Linked DNA regions of Lonchura striata. The protein of the gene in region 1 interacts with the protein of each later gene in a biochemical or structural test. Links are inferred from orthologs where the notes say so. Each region holds a gene or a part of one and is shown on either strand. Other genes may lie near its edges.

Region 1 (10,301 bases):
CAGCCACAGTGGCACGCTGGGAGCTGTTGGAGCAGGCACCAGGATCCCTCAGAGCCCAAGCCCAGGCAGGGAACAGCGTGCTCTGGCCACGCTGCCTCCATCCTGCCTGTTCCAGCTCGCCCTGAACACCTTCCTGCTCGCCCCAAAAATCCCTTCTCACTACTCAAAGGATATAGAGGGAACATGGAGCAAAGCACAGAACAATTCTTCAGTCTCTGAAGCTGTTAAAAATATTTTTGATAAAGGTACATATATGCACAGCTGAGCTCCAGTGAACACCTTCTTGTTTCTCATGCTAATTTTATATTGTTCCTAAAGCAGAGCTGATTTTTATCTTTGTGAAAGGAGAATTTTAATCCTGGTCCTATTCATTAATCATATCAAAACCCAAGGTATGCAGATATTATTTTTCAATATTTTTAAGGTTCTAGTCTAAAAGGTTAAGAAATGCAAAATAGCTGTAAAGGGTTTGGGTTTTTTTCTTGAAGTGTTTGGTTTCCTCCCATTATTGCAGACTACATATATCTTTATTTCTCAGTGAGAGCAAACTGTGGCCCTGAACCTCTAGAATTCCAAACACAGGCAAAGATAATGACTGTTTAAAAGTAAAGAACAAATTGTTCCACAAAAAATGAGCACAATCACAAAAAGAAGCATAAACTTCTCCTGCTTAGTGGTGGCTTCCAAGACGTCAGACATTTTGTAAACCAGCAGTCGGATCCAGACCACGCAGAATTGGGACGGTCCTGCTTTTCCTGTTAATTTTTCCACTATGAGAGTGTCCAAAACTCTCTGAAATAAAGGATTACTGTCTAGGGGTTCAGAAAGTCATATTTTCATAGAACAGTTCATTCTGACAGGTAACCCCAGCAAGCACACAAGCTGTTCCATTAAATGTCATGGCCTTAAGTTTAAAAATGTATCCCACATCCCAAGCCCAACTGTTTGTTTGTTCTCAGGAGTGTTTTCAGTGCTGCTGTGGCCCAGAGTTTAGATCAGTGGTTGAGCTGCCTACACCTCATTTAGAGGTTGTAAGCAAGAGAGACACAGTTTGGTTTAGTGTTTAGCAAATTATCTTCACCCTTTTGCCACTAAATCACTCTACAAGCACGAGCAAACCACTCAGCTCTTCCTCTCCTTCCCCTTATTCAAATGTACCCAGACCATGACTTGTGATATGACTGTGAGGAGTGAAGATCAGACCTTGAACATGGACAGAAAATTCTAGAAGCTCTGCTGAACCGAGGTCACAGCATGAATTCTGAGTGTAGTGATGAGATTTGAGTATTATCATATCTTTCTGGATGAAGAAAGCATGGAATAGTGCCTGTGGTTTTCTATCCAAAAGAGCCAGAAAGAAATGTTGGTCCTCAGAAGAGAAATCTGCTCTGAGATCACCCTGATGTAATATGGACTTACCAGGTCTGAGGCAGGTCCTTCGGCCTCTGGGCTTGCAAAATGTGCTGGGCCAAGAATTGAGAAAATAGAGAAAGATTATTTAACTTCACCCCATTTCAAAATGTAGTAAGAATGTATTTCTGCATTTAAAAAATGTATTTAACTTCCCCATCTGTGTTTCACTTGGTCCACATATTCAAGCCATTTTCTAAAGTTGTGAACAACTTTTAAATAAAAATTCAGACCTTTAAATAATCACAGACTATCAGAAACTTGGCCTTTTCAGAAAAACACAAACATACAGAAAGTCAACAGTGCTAGCAAGTTAGTAATTGAGGCATCCTGCTTTTAGTGTAAATAGTATCCGTAATTTTTTTGCAGTGCTTTAGAGGTATTCAGGAGATATTTCCTCAAATGATGTTGGGATAATCTGCAGGGGTTCCACATCTTTGTACTTCAACCAAAGCAGCCAAAAACTGGGTCAGGGCAACAGTCCAAAATTTTAGTGGTGAGCCTCCAAAATTCAAGACACTCAGGGAATGCATGTTGGGGAATAATATGAGAATGCTGAAGGGAAAAAAAAAAAAAAGATAAGGGCATATTTAATTTGTAGCCAATATTAATATTTCAAAAATTGGTACTGTCAATTTGGAATAAAGCCTGTGTTTGAAGTGCCTGTGAAAGGCAAGGCAGTTGCCTCAGATGCTGTGTGATGCCATCGGTTCCTGAGTTGCCACGAGGCAATCTGGATGGCTGGCTGCTCCGAATCCACAGGCACAGGGGTTTGGGATGCCAGCTTTCGAGGAGTCTCCCCACTGGGTTACTCTGGATCCTGGAATATGAGAACGTGGGTTGGCAAGACCCTGCGTGTCTGGGAGCAGCCGAGCAGCCCCACGGGCTTCCCAAATTCGGGCTCACCACCGTCCCTTCTGATAGGATGGAGAGAACTGGGAAGCATAGCTCAGCTTGAAAATTCCGAATTCGGGAGCCAAGTCCCACAAAACTTTCACCCTGTTGCTCCTGGGCAGCTGTTGCAGGGAGATGAGATGCAGCTGGAGTTGAGAAAAGGAACCAGCCTGGTTGGAGGCACCTGGTGACTCTGCAGGTGCCTCTGAGGCTCCTCACTCAGCACCATTTTGGGGTGGTTTAACAGAGAACTGCTGCTTTGAGGAGCTAAAGTTTATAATTATATGTTTTTTTAGAACTTGGGCTTCTTGAGACCGGGGAGTGTGACAACCCAGTCTGCTCAGTGATGGAAAGTTCGAAACTGGAAATGTACCTGGATGCCACCCTGAGTCAGCCCAAACCGAAGCATCTCTACAAAACACCTAGATGTGAACAAATTGCCATCCTCTGACAAAAATATTCCGTCTGAGAATTTCTGACCAGCTCCAGCGGTAAACACCTCCAGGGTGTCCTTTTTGTCTGATACAGGGCAAAAATTATCCGGGTACCTGTTGCTCGGGGTGGAAAGATGAGGGAATGGAATATTAAATTAAAGGAGTTGGAACAAAAAGCAGCTAATTGTCTGAGCACGGCTGGCCGAGCTGTGTTCAGGTATCTGTGTGGGAACAGATTCCACGGATGAAATGCCCGTGGCAGGGGCTGCAGCCACGCTGTGGAGCCTCTTGTCCCCTTCCCCTCCCTGAGCGGGCTTTACACTTGTGGGGCTTTACGCTTGTGGGGCTTTAAGCCTGTGTTTCTTTTCCGGTGGGGTTTGTCCGGGCACCTCTCCCTGCCGTGCTGCCGGGCTTTTCTGGAGCGCGGTCCCCCTCAGGGAGCCGGGGCCTCCGCGGGCGGCGATGGAGGCGCGCAGCCTCCCGCCCTCCTTCCCTCCCAAACACGCCGCCGAGGGAGGGAGGGAAGGAGGGGGTGGAAGCCGGGCCGGGGCGGCCAGCAGGCAATTTGCATGAGAGACAGACTGGGAATGAGCTGGAGTGGGCGCCTCTCCGCGCACACAGAGCGGGGCAGGAGGGGGAGGAGGAGGGAGCTGCCGCCGCCGCCGGGGAGAGGCGGCGAACTCCGGGCAAAGTTTGGAGCCGCGGGCCCGCGGCGCTGAGGCAGCGGCGGGGCCGGGCCGGGCCGCGGGTGTGAGGCGGCGGAGCCGGCGGCGGGCAGAGCGCGGAGCCGGCGGCGGGCGCTGCCGGCACAGCCAGCATGTCCTCCATCCTGCCCTTCACTCCTCCCATCGTCAAGCGGCTCCTGGGCTGGAAGAAAGGCGAGCAGAACGGGCAGGAGGAGAAATGGTGCGAGAAGGCGGTGAAGAGCCTGGTGAAGAAGCTGAAGAAGACGGGGCAGCTGGACGAGCTGGAGAAGGCGATCACCACGCAGAACATCAACACCAAGTGCATCACCATCCCCAGGTATGGGTGCGGGGGGCGCGGCTCGAGGGGCGTGCGGGACCCGCAGGGACCCCGAGGGACCCCGAGGGACCCGCCGGGACCCCGAGGGACCCGCCGGGACCCCGAGGGACCCGCAGGGACCCGCCGGGACCCCGAGGGACCCGCCGGGACCCCGAGGGACCCCGAGGGACCCGCCGGGACCCCGAGGGACCCCGAGGGACCCGCAGGGACCCCGAGGGACCCCGAGGGACCCTCAGGGACCCCCGGGCCCCGGCACGGCCGGGCAGGGCTCGGCGCGGTGTCCGTCCTCTCTGCCTGCTCCTTACCGAGCTAAGAAAAACCCCGTTCTGCCTGCAGAACTGAATTACTCTGTAGTAACGAGAGAGAAAACGTAGTGGAGAAAATATGCCTCGAGCCGAGATCATAAAAAAGAAAAAAAAAAAAAACAAAGTTGGAAGCGCTGCGGAGCAGTTCCACTCTTATTGTCAGAAGTTTCAGCTTGTTCTCAAGTGCTGTTGCATTTAGATTTTCTTGTGATTAGCGCGTTAGGAAAACGGTTTTGTTTGGGTTGTTTGGCCTCTTCCTTACTCCTCCGAAGGGGTCATTTAGAGCCCTGCTCTGCTGATGTTTTCGAGTTACTTTTTAAATCGGGAATGCAAATGGCAGAGCTGAAGGAGGTCGTTTGGAGTGAAAAAAAAAAAAAAACCAAAAAAAACCCCACACATGTCAGGGTGAATATAACTGATTTTTTTTCTTCCATTTTTTGAATGAACATAGATTTTATTTTCAGTCTCCATTCCGAACTCGATCCACAGGGCCATCATAAATCATAAAAGACGTGTATAAAACTATCCCATCTAAGAACAATTTTCCAAGTAACTTTCAAATGGCTGCCCACAAGTGGTGTTTTATTGCTGCAGATTGTTGAATTCTGTGAGCTCAGCCAGATGACTGCTGGGTCTGTTCCTGATTGTGTTTGAGAGTATTTTTTTTTTTTTAAGCAAAGGCCAAAGTTCATCCCAAATATTTGAATGCTGCATAATTGTGTGCTTCTGCGTGAGAAGATATCTGTGTGTGTGTGTGTATTCATGCTTCTCTCTGGCACAAACAAATGTATGCTTTCTTGCTTGTCAGAATGATTTAATATGCAGGAGCTGATACAAAGCAGCATCTGTTGCATGAAAAAGTGAAGCAAGTAGCTTAGAAATGTGGATGTTTGGAGCTCCTGAAATTTTCTTCCAACAACTGCAGTGTTTTTTTAAAAGGAAAAATAAAGCCTCCTTATCTTTTTTGGTGCTGAATGACTTTGGCCAAGATTTTGGCCGGTAATGCAAATGAGAGCTCTCAGCCTTTGTTAGAGTTGCTCCGGCTTCTACTTGAAGCAGAAATCAAAACCTGTAGAGCCACCACGCAATACAAATGCCTTAAAATCTATATTTTTCAAGTTCTTGGTAAGCAGCGTGCTTTCCACGTAGATAATTCCCTGAAATATTTACCATTTAAAGCACTTCTCTGTAATATTTACCATTTCAAAAGAAGAAAATTTCTGGAGCAGCCCTGCTGCTGTGACCTGGGTATTGTGTCTGGCTGATGCTGACCCGTTAGGGAGCAGAGCATGAAGGCCCGTGGAACTTCTGTGACTCCTAACAGAGTGGTTTAGATAAGGAAGGATTTGATATTTTATGATTTAAAGGAAGAAAAGTGTTGGGCCAAACACAATGCTTTATTAAAAGAAAAAAGGTAAAGTTTGAAAATAAATAACAACGCAAACATATGTCGCAAGTCATGCAGACTCACCTTCAGAGATTGTCCTGACTGTTCCTCATCTGTTAAAGAAAATCTGTGCAGAAATTAAAACATTTTGTGTTAATTTATGACACTGAACCTGGATCCTACAGATCTTAAACCTTGGTATGGGGGAGGCATCAGCCTGTTTTGGTGGGAGCCCCTTATACCTTGGCATTAATTTTTAAACACAACTTCATATCTGCTTTTTTATTGTTTAGAAATGCCCGTGGTTAGGTTTTTCTGTGCTGAGATGTTAACATCTGTGTGTCAGAGGTTGGGGAATGGGGTGGGAGCATGGAACAATCCCTGAAGTCAGTGCAGAGCTGCAGCTCTGACCAGGCCTTGTGACTTTAAGAGCTGTGCCTTTTCCTCTGGGCTGCACTGCTTGTCCTAATGTATCTGTGAATCTGATTACTGTGTCATCTGAAATTAGTGTTTGCAAGACGATTTTAGCGTGGTTTTCGTTTGCTGTTTGTTTTTTTCATTTAATAATTTTTACGTATGTCATTTTACTATTTACTCAAATGATATGCTGGGGAGGGGGGAAAGGGGGGAAAAGCATCATTAAGGATTAGCTCATGTTGTGCATTGTCCGTAATGCATCAGTAGACTGAATTACAGTGGAGCCATGCCAGTGATGACTCTGGCCCAGCAGGAGCAGGGTAAGTCCAAAATTAGCTATTGTATCCATGAGACAGAGCAAGTTTTACATGGAAAAGGGCTCGAGCTTTGCAGAAACATTGCTTGTGGGAATGAGGGCTACACAGCAAATTCCTGGACTGATCAGGTGGGATTGTTTGAAGAAAGGACAGGAAAATATATTTGTTTTGTTGTAGGGCTAAGGAATTAGAATAACAAATGTATTCCTGCTGTCATGTTTATCTGCTGGGATCTGGAAGCACGTACTACATGCTATCTCCTGACAGATTAGTAAACAGGGATTAGTTTATTTGCTCAGCATGTGTTACTTCTCCAAGTGCTCAATTTCTGAGGTGGTGTGACAGATACCCCAGGTGTTCTGTTGGGAGAACCTGTGAAGATAGTAAAAGGCTGGAGAGGCCTTCAAGGATTTCAGCAACTCTTCTGGCAAGAAGGATTTTTCCTTCATGTTTTTACTGCTGGAGGAGGAAGTCATTTCCACCTGAAAAACTCTGGTCTCAAACCAGCTGATGGTTTCTGGTGGTGCTGCTGCTGCACAGGACGGCTCCTTTAGAGGATCTTCCTTCCCTGCTCCTCTGGACACAGCTGCCAAAGCCCATCCTGCCCCAGCAGGACCTTTCTTTAAACCTCTGTGCCCGAGCTGGTGGCCTTTAGTGCCAGAGCTCACCTAGTGAGTCGGGTCTCCCTGGCAGAAAGGGTTTTTCATCCTGTATTGGGTGATAAACGTTGAGAAGACACATTCTTCTGCTCATTAAAATGCACCCTTTGTCACAGTTATCTTGAAAGCCCAGCTTTCAGAATGAGCATTTTTATCACTTTTCAGACCAACCTGGGCACAAGTGTGCCATTAACACCTACCCAGCACAGGCAGGAGGGTGTTTGTGGCCTCTCTGCCTTGCTCTGTGAGCAGGCAATGATCTGCTCCAGCTGCTCGCAGGATTTTTGGTGGCTCTGTTCTCTTCAGAGACCCAAAAATGTGGTCAGAGTGGCGTCTACATCTGACATTCATACAAACCTGCAAAAACCCCTGAATTTCTAATACTGTTCTGAGCAGAAGAGAGGCCGTTTTGTGCACCTGAGAAACCAGCAGCATTTGCCCTGCAAATGAAGTGTGGTGAGTGTTGAACTCAACTTTTTTAGGGTCTGATCTGCAGAAAGCAGACCATGTGACAGGCACTCGGTAATTTCTACAAGCTGTGCAGTGTCTGTAGTCTTGCTTTATGATAGTAAATGCTTTGTTTCAAGAGCTTTAGTGGTGCTACACACACAAAGACATAAATCTCCTGATATTTTGTAATATATTTTCATATGGACATTTTTCTTTTGAACTCATTACTGTATTTATTTGTTTTGGTATCACCAGTGGTTTTAGGGGAACCAGGATTCCTGTATGTAAAGATCACCTTCTTTTAAGTAGTGGGTTTTTTTTTTAATTTAGAAAACAGTTGTGAAGAGAGGTGGGTGTTATTTCTTGTGGAACTCATCTGATAAGGGCAGAATGTACCAGTTAAAATGAAAACATGGCACATTTGCTTCTTAAAAGCCACTGAATATGGTGTTCCTTAAATGATTTACATTTTGGTGGGGAAAACCAGGGATAATACACAAGGAACTTAATACATAATGATAATAAAGAAGGAACATAATTATTTCAGGAACATCTTGGGTGTGAGCACAGCTTCTGTTGTGTTGGGAGTTGACCACACAATATTTACAGAACTTAATCGTGTTCTTAGGTTTGAGGGGATACCAGGAAAAGAGGAAAACGGTGAGGGTATTAAGTGGCAGAGGCTGTTTGCAAGACCCTGAAGGATGTTGTGGTTTCACACTATGGTGTGATTTTGGGGTCACTGGACTTGCTCCTTGTGGGTCTCTTCCAGCTTGGGATATTCTGATTCCAGACTCTTTTTTGGGACTGCTGCCCATCTGACTGCAGTAAGCAGCAAAGGACCAGCCACAGCTTTGTGTGTCCATGTGCAAATTTATGTATTTTTCGATACCAGTTTCAAGCTACTTTGTTTTCAGTTTTCTATCCCTGAGTGTGAGGAGCTTTAATATTTCCTGGCCTTGTCTGGGAGCGCCTGCAGGGGCTTAGCCCTGGTGTGCACCTCAGGCTGCCATCTCCCTGCCCGGCTCCATCCTGCTGGGGATTTTCCTGCTGCAAAGCCGTGGCAGTGACCTCTGTCCTGCCCGAGCCCTGGGCAGGTTTTACAGCCCTGCCCAACCTTTGTGCTGCTGCAGTGCCCTCAGCAGCTGTGGTGGCCTCTGTGGGACTCTCAGGCCAGGTCTGAAGGTGGAGGTAGGGTGAGTCCCCATGAGCCTGAGCCTGACAGACCTCCAGGAGTGTTTGGGCAACTCTCTTGGGCCCAGGGTGTGACATGGCCTTGCTCCTGTGTGGGGCCAGGAGTTGGACTCGGTGACCCTTGTGGGTCCCTTCCAGTTCAGCTTTTTCTGTGTGATTCCATGATTTTCTGCCTGCAGTGCTGCTTCTCCATCAGTGCCTTTCTCAACTCCCTCTCTGGGCACAGGTTTCTGCTCCCTGCAGCCCCTCCAGCTTTTTGTCACCCCCTTGCACTTACTCCTGCCTCTTACATCAGCTTGGGTGATGTGTGTGGAGTTGTTGTGTTCCCAAAAACAAAGCACTGCTGTCAGGCTGCGGCCATAATGTTGGTACAACCAGTTAGGGAGCAGCTACACACTCAGTTATTGTGGCACAGACAAGGAGCTGGGAGAAGAGGGAGGCTGGGGAGGAGTTATGTTCTCTCCCTTTAAAAGAGTTGCTGCTGGCATAGCACAGCAGCCCTTTATTAAGGTGTCTCCTCAGTTTTGTAATTTCTCGTGCAGTCATTACAATTCAAACCCTCTTGCAAATATATATGTGTTTTTTTACCTGAATTTTGCAGGGCAGCTCACACTTTGCATTAAAACCAGTGATAAATTTCCTTCTGTCTTGAAAAAACAACTGGAATGTTTATCCAGGACACTGAGAGGCTAAAATGGATTTTACCACTCGTTAAGATGCTTTCAGATATTAATATCTCTGTCTTTCATTCTTCTGCCCTTTCTCAAGAGACTAGAAGAGTTAAAATAGCTTCTGAAGGGACTCATGATGTTCTCATTATATTGTGTAGTAAGTGTTGAATCTGTGTGAAATAAAATGTTTAAAATGGTTGCTTAACTTTCATAGTATTAGGAAAAGACCCTGAATATCTCAGTCATTTAAATATAATGAGAAATAAATGCAAAAAATTGATGAAATAAAGAAATACACACTGTACAGGATTATCACATCAGGGATCCAATTAAAATTAGTTCTTCTAATAAATATTGGTTTAATAATGTAAACTTGTGATTGCTATATTATTACAACAAAAATAAAATTAACGAGATTTAATGGACTGAGCAGCCATTAATTTTCACTTGTTAATTTATTAGGAACTTCTAATGTTGTTAGATGCACAGTAAAGCCATTATCCTGCATGAACTACTTGATGAAATAAATAGGGGCAACAAGTGCTCGAATTAAATTGAAATCAGTTTTTATTCCCAAATTATGTCTTTCTGTTGTTAGGGGTTTTTTATTATTACTATGTTTTAGCTTTCCTCTGCTGAGTGCAATTAAATTTTCAGGGATGGGATGCAGCACTCCCTCCAGCCAGGCTTATGAATAGTCCTAATTAACTTTTGTCCTTGTCTGCCTTGATGTGTTTGTAAAAATCCCTTTTCCAGCCCCGAGCTGCCGGTGCTGATGGGCGAGTGAAGCCAGGGCAGAGGTTCTTGCAGTTCCAGGGGGTGACTCCAGCAGGTCCAGCAGGCGTTTGTTGATTCCTTTTGGAATTGCTGATAATTACACAGCTCTGTGTAGCTGAGGAGCCGGTAGTGTGTGGATTGTTGCAGTAATGCAGTAATTTTAAAGGTGTTGTGAAGCCTTTCAGACCTGATCCTCATTTGTTGGCATCTCTTTGCCCCCACAGTGGTGGGACTTGCCCTTAGGGAAGCTGGACTGCTCCAGGTACTGTGCCTCTGTACAAACAATACGAAGCCAGAGCTCTTTTTTTTGGTCTTAAAGACTCAGCTCCTCAGAGGACACAAATGTGAGTGGGAATAACCTAT
Region 2 (10,301 bases), on another chromosome or scaffold:
ATAAAACCGGGATATCAGCCGGGGACACCGGTGAGAATCCCGGGATATTAGCCGGGGACACCGGTGAGAATCCCGGGAAAAAACCGGGATATTAGCTGGGGACACCGGTGAGAATCCCGGGATAAAACCGGGATATCAGCCGGGGACACCGGTGAGAATCCCGGGATAAAACCGGGATTTCAGCCGGGGACACCGGTGAGAATCCCGGGAAAAACCGGGATATCAGCCGGGGACACCGGTGAGAATCCCGGGATAAAACCGGGATATCAGCCGGGGACACCGGTGAGAATCCCGGGATAAAACCGGGATTTCAGCCGGGGACACCGGTGAGAATCCCGGGAAAAACCGGGATATCAGCCGGGGACACCGGTGAGAATCCCGGGATATTAGCCGGGGACACCGGTGAGAATCCCGGGAAAAACCGGGATATCAGCCGGGGACACCGGTGAGAATCCCGGGATATCAGCCGGGGACACCGGTGAGAATCCCGGGAAAAAACCGGGATATCAGCCGGGGATACCGGTGAGAATCCCGGGATATTAGCCGGGGACACCGGTGAGAATCCCGGGAAAAAACCGGGATATCAGCCGGGGACACCGGTGAGAATCCCGGGAAAAAACCGGGATATCAGCCGGGGACACCGGTGAGGAATTCCGGGATAAAAATGGGATTTCAGCCAGGGACACCGGTGAGAATCCCGGGATAAAACCGGGATTTCAGCCGGGGACACCGGTGAGAATCCCGGGAAAAACCGGGATATCAGCCGGGGACACCGGTGAGAATCCCGGGAAAAAACCGGGATTTTAGTCAGGGACACCGGTGAGAATCCCGGGAAAAAACCGGGATTTTAGCCAGGGACACGGCCACCGGTGAGGATGGAACCCCAAAAAGGGAATTTGAAGCCAAAATTTTAGGATAAAAATGGGATTTTATCCCTCAGGAAACGCTGGAAATTTGGGATTTCATTATCTGAATTCCCTCAAATCCCCCCCGGTGCCGCTTTTTTTATTCCCTCAGTGAAAAAGAGGAAATTTGGGATGGAATTTTGGGACCAAAATATGAATTTTGGGTTTTTTTCCCTTTTTTTTCTCTCCCCAGAAAATCCCAGGAATTGAAAACCCCTCTGGGAACGCCGGGAAAGCCTCAGAAGCTTCCGGAATCTCCTCCCAAATTTTGGGAATTTCCCCTCTGGAAAAGGAGCCCCAATTCCCTGCGGATGCCTGAGCTTTTATCCCAAAAATCGAAGAAATAAAAATCCCAGGAATTTTCAGGATGGGACCAAAAATTCTGATTTTACTTCTTTTCATTCCCATTTTTTCCCCTTTTTTTCCTCTTTTCTTTCCCATTTTTTTCCTCTTTTCATTCCCATTTTTCCTTTTTTTTTCCTCTTTTCTTTCCCATTTTTCCTCCTTTTTTCCCACTTTTCATTCCCAACTTTTTCCTCTTCGCCCCCTCCCCCCCACTTTTTATTCCCTAATTTTATTTAAAAAAAAAGAAGCCAAGAAAAAGAGATATTTCCCCAAAAAATTCCCAATAATCAGCACAGGAAATTGGGAATTTTTACCTGAAAATCTGGGAAAAATCCTGGAAAAAAATGCAGAAAATCCCAAATTTGACCAAACTGAAGCAGGAAATTCTGTTTATTCCACTAAAAGATTCCTGGTTTTTTTGGGAATTTCACAGTGGGGTGGGGGAAAATTGGGAACGAGGCTAAAAAATTCCCAACTTTCTGAATATTTTCCCTTAAAACCACAAAAAAATTGAGGATTTTTACCCTAAAACCACACAAAAATCTGGGAAAAATCCGGGGGAAAAAAATTTAAATTAATTTTAAAAATTAAAATTAATTTTTAAAAAAATTGAAAATTGGGAATTTTTATCTGAAAATCTGGGAAAAATCCAGGAAAAAAAATGCAAATTCTGCCAAACCGAAGCAGGAAATTCCGTTTATTCTGCTAAAAAAATTCCCATTTTTTTGGGAATTTCACGCAGGGTGGGGGAAAATTGGGGAACAGGATCACAAAATCCCCAAATTTCTTAATCTCCAATTTCCTCTTAGAACCAGAAAAAAATTGGGAATTTTTACCTGAAAACCTGGGAAAAATCTGGGGAAAAAAAAGAAAAAGAAATCTGAAATTTGGCCAAACCGAAGCAGGAAATTCCGTTTATTCCGCTGGGAAATTCCCGGTTTTTTTGGGAATTTGGCGCGGGGCCGCAGGGAGGTGGGGGATGTGGGATTTTGGGGATTTTCGGGGGGATTTGTGTTTCTGTGGGCTCGGGGAATTGGAATTTTGGGGGGAAAAAATTGGCATTCGGGACGGGAAAAAACTCCCACGGAAAATTCACACTTTTAGGGAGGGATGCAGGAAAAACCCCGAGCTTTGGGGGGTGAAATTGCCCAAAATTCCGATTTTTTTTTACCCCAAAAATCCGACTTTTACCCCCCAAAATTCCGACTTTTTCCCACAAAATTCTGATTTTTTCCCCCTAAAATTCCAATTTTTTTCCCCACAAAATTCTGATTTTTTCCCCCAAAATTCCGATTTTTTCCCCCAAAATTCCGATTCTTAGGGGGAATTTTGCAAAAATCCCGAGATTTGGGGAGGGAAATCGCCCAAAATTCTGATTTTTAGGGGGGAATGTTACAAAAATTTCCCAAAATTACAATTTCTTTTTCCCAAAATTCTGATTTTGGGACAGAATCTTGGGATTTTGGGGTGGAATCCCAGATTTTGGAGTGGAATTCTGGGATTTTGGGGTGGAATTTGGGGATTTTGAGGTGGATTTTCGGGATTTTGGCTGGAATTTGGAGATTTTGGGGTGGAATTTGGGGATTTTGGGGTGGAATTTCAGGATTTTGGGGTGGATTTTCGGGATTTTGGCCGGAATTCTGGGATTTTGGGGTGGAATTTTGGGGTTTTGGGGTGGATTTTCAGGATTTTGGCCGGAATTTGGGGATTTTGTGGTGGAATTTTGGGATTTTGGCCGGAATTTTGGGATTTTGGGGTGGATTTTCAGGATTTTGGCCGGAATTTGGGGATTTTGGGGTGGAATTTTGGGATTTTGGGGTGGATTTTCGGGATTTTGGCCGGAATTCGGGGATTTTGGGGTGGAATTTGGGGATTTTGGGGTGGAATTTTGGGGTGGATTTTCGGGATTTTGAGGTGGATTTTCGGGATTTTGGCTGGAATTTGGGGATTTTGGGGTGGAATTTTGGGATTTTGGCCGGAATTCAGGGATTTTGGGGTGGAATTTTGGGATTTTGGCCGGAATTTGGGGATTTTGGGGTGGAATTTTGGGATTTTGGGGTGGATTTTCGGGATTTTGGGGTGGAATTTTGGGATTTTGGGGTGGAATTTGGAGATTTTGGGGTGGAATTTGGGGATTTTGGGGTGGAATTTCAGGATTTCGGGGTGGATTTTCGGGATTTTGGCCGGAATTCTGGGATTTTGGGGTGGAATTTCAGGATTTCGGGGTGGATTTTTGGGATTTTGGCTGGAATTTGGAGATTTTGGGGTGGAGTTTTGGGATTTTGGCCGGAATTCCGGGATTTTGGCCGGAATTTGGGGATTTTGGCCGGAATTCCGGGATTTTGGCCGGAATTTGGGGATTTTGGGAGCTCACGTGAAGGAGGATTTGTAGTCGGTGCTGTGGACCCATTCCCAGTTTCCCTCGGCGCCGGGTCCCTGAGGGGAGACTTAAAGGGCGGGAAAAAAAAGGGCGGGGAAAAAAGCTCAAGGGGGAGATGAGGGGAAGAAAGGGGTAGAAAAGGCGGGAAAAAAAAGGCGGGAAAAAAGGCAAGGGGGAGAAAGGCGGGGAAAAAAGGGCGGAAAAAGGGGCAAGCGGGGATGAGGGAAAGAAAGGTGTGGAAAAGGCGGGAAAAAAGGGCAAGGGGGGAAGAAAGGGAAAGAAATGGGGGGGGGGGGAAGGCGAGGAAAAAGCGGGAAAGAGGCGAGGCTGCGGCGCCTTCGGGCGCCATTTGTCCCCTCCCAATCCTCGTTGTCCCCAGCCACCCCTCAGAGCCCCCCCACGGAAGGCAAAGATCCCCCCCAGTCCCTCCCAGTAACCCCCAGTACCCACCCGCGAGGGGGCCCGGGCCGCTGCCGCCATCTTGGCCGTTGCTAACAACAAACGCCGTTGCCAGGCAACGCGCCGGCGTGCCCGTGACGTCACTTCCGGGCCCGCCACAGCGGCGGCCCCGTTGCCGTTAATCCCCGCTGCGGATGAGCTCCGCGATGGGGATGAACGACCACGAGAGGCTGCCTCTCGGTGTCCCCCCGGTTCTCCCGGTGTTCCCCGTTCTCCTCCGCCATCCTCCGTTCTCCCCCTCCCATCCCCCGTGTGACCAAACCGGCGCCACGTAGAGGCTTTAAACCGGCCGCGCGCGTTCTGTAGCGTTGGGTTTGTCGATAATAAAGCTGCTTTTGGAGGCTCCGGTTGATTTCTTTGCTCCGGTGGGACCGGGACGCTCTAACCGGGCACAGTAGAGGCAGCGCTGCGTCTTTGCGTTCCGGTTAAATTTAGCCACGCACGGCCACCATCCCGCCTTTCCCGCGCGCGTCTCGGCTTCACCGCGCGCTTGATTGACAGGCGGCTCCGCCAATAAGATGATGCCCTGAGGGGCGCATCGTCTCTGCCGACCAATAGGAACGCGAGAAGCGCTGGTTTGCCCGCCCCTCCGCGTGGCGGTGTGGGCGGGCCGCGCAGGGCGGGCAGAGGGAAGGGAAGATGGCGGAGGAGGAGAAGCTGCCCGCGGGGTGGGAGAAGCGAATGAGCCGCAGCTCCGGTGAGGGCCTGAGGGCTGGGGGGAAGCGCGGGGAAGGAGCTGCGGCCATGGGGGAGGTGGGAAAGGGCGGTGGGGGCGGCGGGGTTGGGTTTTGGAGGGGGTGAGGGGGCGTGGTGGGGGGGGTGCGTGAGGGGGATTTGAGGAGGGGGCGGCGAATTGAGGGAGGGTCGTGAGGGGGCATCGCTTCAGGGAGGGGGGGTCAATGTCGTGAGGGGAATTTGGGGGGGTCGCCAATTTAGGGGGGTTCTGAGGGGGGGGGGTTCGTCTCAGGGAAGAGGGGGGGCAATTCCGTGAGGGGAATTTGGGGGGTCCCGCTCATGAGGGGAATTTGGGGGGGAGGATCTCCCTCCTGAGGGGAATTTGGGGGGGGATCCCCCTGGTGAGGGGAATTTGGGGGGGCGTCAAAGGGAATTAGGGGGGTTCCCCTTCCTGAGGGGAATTTGGGGGGGATCCTCTTCCTGAGGGGAATTTGGGGAGGATTCCCCTCGTGAGGGGAATTTGGGGGGGGGAATCTCCCTCCTGAGGGGAATTTGGGGGGGAATCTCCCTCATGAGGGGAATTTGGGTGGGATCCCCCTGGTGAGGGGAATTTTAGGGAGATCCCCCTCATGAAGGGAATTTGGGGGGGCTCAATGGATTTTTAGGGTCCTTAACCTGCATTTTGGGTTTAATCACCTCAATTTTCAGCAGCAATCAGTAAGCAATCACTGATCAATAACCTATAATTAATCAATAACTGATATTTGATCAATAGCTCCCCAGGGAGGGGGTACTGCTTCAACCACCAGGCAAAGATCAGCCAGTGGGGTCATTGAGGTGGGAATTGATGTCAATAAGCTGATTTATCAGTGCAAATCAATAAATGATCAGTGATCAATAACCAATAGCCGACCAATATTGATTGATAACCGATTAGTAACCCTGCAGGACACGTGTACTACTTCAACCACCTGGTGAACGCCAGCCAGTGGGGTCAATACTGGGGCCTGTGAGGAGGTTTTGGTACCAATAACCAATTTTTTGATACCGATCGGTAACCAATCAGTAATCAATAACCAATAGCGGATCAATACCCCCCAGGCAGGGTGTACTACTTCAACCACCTGACGAACGCCAGCCAATGGGAGCGGCCGAGCGGCGCGGGCCGGGCGGAGCCGGGCCGGGTGCGCTGCTCGCACCTCCTGGTGAAGCACAACCAGTCCCGGCGCCCGTCCAGCTGGAGGCAGGAGCGCATCACCCGCTCCAAGGAGGAGGCGCTGGAGCTCGTCAATGGTCAGGGATAAACTGGGATAAACTGGGAGTGGTACTGGGATAAACTGGGAGTGATACTGGGGGGATACTGGGATAAACTGGGAGTGATACTGGGGGGTTACTGGGGAGACTCAGCTGGAGGCAGGAGCGCATCACCCGCTCCAAGGAGGAGGCGCTGGAGCTCGTCAATGGTCAGGGATAAACTGGGATAAACTGGGGGGGATACTGGGATAAACTGGGAATGATACTGGGATAAACTGGGAGTGATACTGGGATAAACTGGGAGTGATACTGGGGGGATACTGGGATAAACTGGGAGTAATACTGGGGGGTTACTGGGGAGACTCAGCTGGAGGCAGGAGCGCATCACCCGCTCCAAGGAGGAGGCGCTGGAGCTCGTCAATGGTCAGGGATAAACTGGGAATGGTACTGGGATAAACTGGGAATGATACTGGGATAAACTGGGAGTGATACTGGGATAAACTGGGAGTGATACTGGGGGGATACTGGGATATACTGGGGGGATACTGGGGGTGATGGGCTGATGGGATACTGGTGATACTGGGATACTTGGGGTACTGGGAGTGATGGGATACTGGGGATACTGGGAATGATGGGATACTCAGGGTACTGGGAATACTGGGAGTGATGGGATACTGGGGATACTGGGAATGATGGGATACTCAGGGTACTGGGAATACTGGGAGTGATGGGATACTGGGCATACTGGGGATACTGGGCTTCATTAATGAGCTCAGGAGCTGGACATTCTTTATAAAAGCTCGCCAATGGCAAATAGAAACTCTGGGAATGAATCCCAGGAATTCCAAAGGATTTGGGATCTCCCCGGATTCCACCCCAAATTCCACCTTTTCCCAGAAGTCAGCCCTAAAATTCCACCATTTCCCAAAACTCATCCTAGAATTCCTTCCCTGGATGGTTCTTTTCTCCAATTTTCCCTTTTTTTTGGGGGAAAAAAAAAGCTCCCTGAAATGACCGATTTTTGGGGAAAAAAAAACTGGGAATAGTGAATTTGGGGGGGAAAAAAAAGTGGGAGTGAGTGATGACTTTTCGGGAAAAAAAAACCAGGAATGTTGGTTTTGGGGTAGATTTGAGGATATTTTGGGATTGTCTCATTTCCCATGGAATCTGCGGCACCCAGGGAATTTTGGGAGTGGTTTTGATCCCTAAATTTGGGGTTTTCCCGTTTTTCTTCCAGGTTACATCCAGAAAATCAAATCGGGAGAGGAGGATTTTGAGTCTTTGGCTTCGCAGTTCAGCGACTGCAGCTCGGCCAAGGCTGGAGGAGACCTGGGAGCGTTCGGGAGAGGTGAGGGATTCATCCCAAAAAATCCCCAAATCCATCAATTCCAGGGGAATCATCCCCAAACCCCCCCAAATCCAGAGGATTTACTCTCCAAAAAAAGACCCAAATCCAAGGAATTCCAAGACATTTATCCCCCCTCAAAAAAAACCCTCAAATCCAGGGAATTCACCCCCAAAAAACCCCAAATCCACCAATTTCAGGACTTTTTCTCCCCCCCAAAAAAATCTCCAAATCATGCAATTCCAGGGGATTTATCCCTAAAATCAGCCATTTCAGGGGTTGTTTCCCCAAAAATTCACAGAATCCATCCAATTCCAGGGGATTTATCCCTAAAATCAGCCATTTCAGGGGTTGTTTCCCCAAATCCACCAATTCCAGGGGATTTATCCCTAAAATCAGCCATTTCAGGGGTTGTTTCCCCAAATCCACCAATTCCAGGGGATTTATCCCTAAAATCAGCCATTTCAGGGGTTGTTTCCCCAAATCCTCCAATTCCCAGGGATTTATGCCCCAAATCAACCCCGAATCCCCCGTAATTCCAACCGTGCTCCATCCAAACTCCCGGAATCGCCTCCCCCGGTGTTGAAATCCCGGATTTTTCTCCGGGAAGAGCCCCAAATCCCGTTTTTTTGGGTTTTGTTTTGATTTTTGGGGGTTTTGGTCGCAGGGCAGATGCAGAAGCCGTTCGAGGACGCCTCGTTCGCGCTGCGGGCCGGCGAGATGAGCGGCCCCGTGTTCACGGAATCCGGGATCCACATCATCCTCCGCACGGAGTGAAGTGCCTTGGCAGGGCCGGAATTCCCGGGAATCCTCGGGAACCCGCGGAGGTCTCCGGGAATCCGCGGGAATTCACGGGAATCCGTCGGAATCGATGGGAATCTGTTGACTCCACGGGAATCCATGGAAATCCTCAGGAATCCGCGGGAATCCACAGAAAATCCATGGGAATCCATGGAAATCCTGAGGAAATCCACAGAAATCCATGGAAATCCTCAGGAAATCCACGGGAATCCACGGAAATCCTCAGGAATCTATGGGAATCCATGGGAATCCACAGGAAATCCATGGGAATCCATGGAAATCCTGAGGAAATCCACAGAAATCCGTGGAAATCCACAGGAAATCCATGGGAATCCGTGGAAATCCTGAGGAAATCCACAGGAATCCGTGGAAATCCTCAAGAAATCCATGGGAATCCACAGGAATCTGTGGAAATCCTCAGGAAATCCATGGGAATTCTCAGGAATCCGTGGGAATCCACAGGAAATCCATGGGAATCCATGGAAATCCTCAGGAATCCACCGAAATCCATGTGGATCCACAGGAATCCATGGAAGTCCATAGGAATCTGTGGGAATCCGTGGAAATTCTCAGGAATTCCGCGGGAATCCGTGGGACATCTGTGGAGATCTCCAGGAATCTACGGAATTCATGGGAATCCGTCGGAATCGATGGGAATCTGTTAACTCCAAGGGAAGCCATGGCGATCTCTGGGAATTCTCAGGAATCCGCAGGAAAACCATGGGAATCCACAGGAATCCATGGAAATCCTCAGGAAATCCATGGGAATTCTCAGGAATCCACAGGAATCCATGGAAATCCTCAGGAAATCCATGGGAATTCTCAGGAATCCACGGGAATCCACAGGAATCCATGGAAATCCTCAGGAAATCCATGGGAATTCTCAGGAATCCACGGGAATCCATGGAAATCCTCAGGAAATCCATGGGAATTCTCAGGAATCCACGGGAATCCATGGGAATCCACAGGAATCCATGGAAATCCTTGGGAATCCACAGGAATCCACAGGAAATCCATGGAATCCACAGGAAATCCTCAAGAATCCATGGAATCCACAGGAAATCCATGGAATCTATGGGAAATCCATGGAATCCACGGGAAATCCACAGGAAATCCATGGAATCCACGGGAAATCCTCAGGAATCCATGGAATCTGGAAAATCCACGGAATCCGCAGGAAATCCATGGAATCCGCGGGAATCCCGCCCACCACAAACTCCAGATCCCACAATTCCTCCATCGTTCCGCGTCCTCCCGGGCGGGAGCGGAAACGGGGAATTCCTGCGGTTTTCGGGGAATTCCCGCGGTTTTCGGGGAATTCCTGCGGTTTTGGGGGAATTCCTGCGGTTTTCGGGGAATTCCCGCGGTTTTCGGGGAATTCCTGTGGTTTTGGGGGAATTCCTGCGGTTTTCGGGGAATTCCCGCGGTTTTCGGGGAATTCCTGTGGTTTTGGGGGAATTCCTGCGGTTTTGGGGGAATTCCCGCGGTTTTCGGGGAATTCCCGCAGTTTTCGGGGAATTCCTGCGGTTTTCGGGGAATTCCCGCAGTTTTCGGGGAATTCCTGCAGTTTTTGGGAACGTCGGGTCGGCCGGAGGCGGCTCCCGGTGGTCGCGGCTCCGGGAGCGCAGCGGTGACGGTGGCAACGATGACGATGACGATGACCAACAGTGGTGATGGTGACAATGGCCATGGCCAATGATGGTGACAATGACCGTGGCCAACAAAGTTGACATTGACCAACAATGGTGACAATGACCAATGATGGTGACAATGGCCAACTATGGTGACAATGGCCATGGGCAACGATGGTGACGATGACAATGACCAATGATGGTGACAATGACCAATGATGGTGACAATGACCAACTGTGGTGACAATGGCCAACTATGGTGACAATGGCCATGGGCAACGATGGTGACGATGACAATGACCAACTATGGTGACAATGGCCATGGCCAACAATAGTGACGATGACCAACAATGGTGACAATGACGATGACCAACGACGGTGACGATGATGAGCCGTGGCAACGGCCAACAATGACAACAGTGATGATGATGATGACAGTGCCAGATGATGAAGATGATGACACCAATGATGATGACAATGACGGTGAAGACGATACCAATGATGAT

What was found. The genes of interacting proteins can lie anywhere in the genome.
Region 2: the proteins of SMAD3 (region 1) and PIN1 form a complex in vitro, tested with the Homo sapiens proteins (2 studies listed by BioGRID, with this or other methods). The link is inferred for Lonchura striata from reciprocal best matches to the Homo sapiens genes SMAD3 and PIN1.

Annotation. Positions count from the first base shown.
Region 1 is NC_134613.1:23,083,384-23,093,684, forward strand, and holds the start of SMAD3 (mothers against decapentaplegic homolog 3), read left to right. Parts: upstream 1-3,476; 5' UTR 3,477-3,555; coding exon 3,556-3,761; intron 3,762-10,301. UniProt on the Homo sapiens protein: Receptor-regulated SMAD (R-SMAD) that is an intracellular signal transducer and transcriptional modulator activated by TGF-beta (transforming growth factor) and activin type 1 receptor kinases.
Region 2 is NC_134623.1:1,532,843-1,543,143, forward strand, and holds PIN1 (peptidyl-prolyl cis-trans isomerase NIMA-interacting 1), read left to right. Parts: upstream 1-4,700; 5' UTR 4,701-4,728; coding exon 4,729-4,786; intron 4,787-5,865; coding exon 5,866-6,057; intron 6,058-7,255; coding exon 7,256-7,366; intron 7,367-8,030; coding exon 8,031-8,140; 3' UTR 8,141-9,976; downstream 9,977-10,301. Other genes in the region: CHCHD5 (coiled-coil-helix-coiled-coil-helix domain-containing protein 5), read left to right, coding at 1,099-1,224. UniProt on the Homo sapiens protein: Peptidyl-prolyl cis/trans isomerase (PPIase) that binds to and isomerizes specific phosphorylated Ser/Thr-Pro (pSer/Thr-Pro) motifs.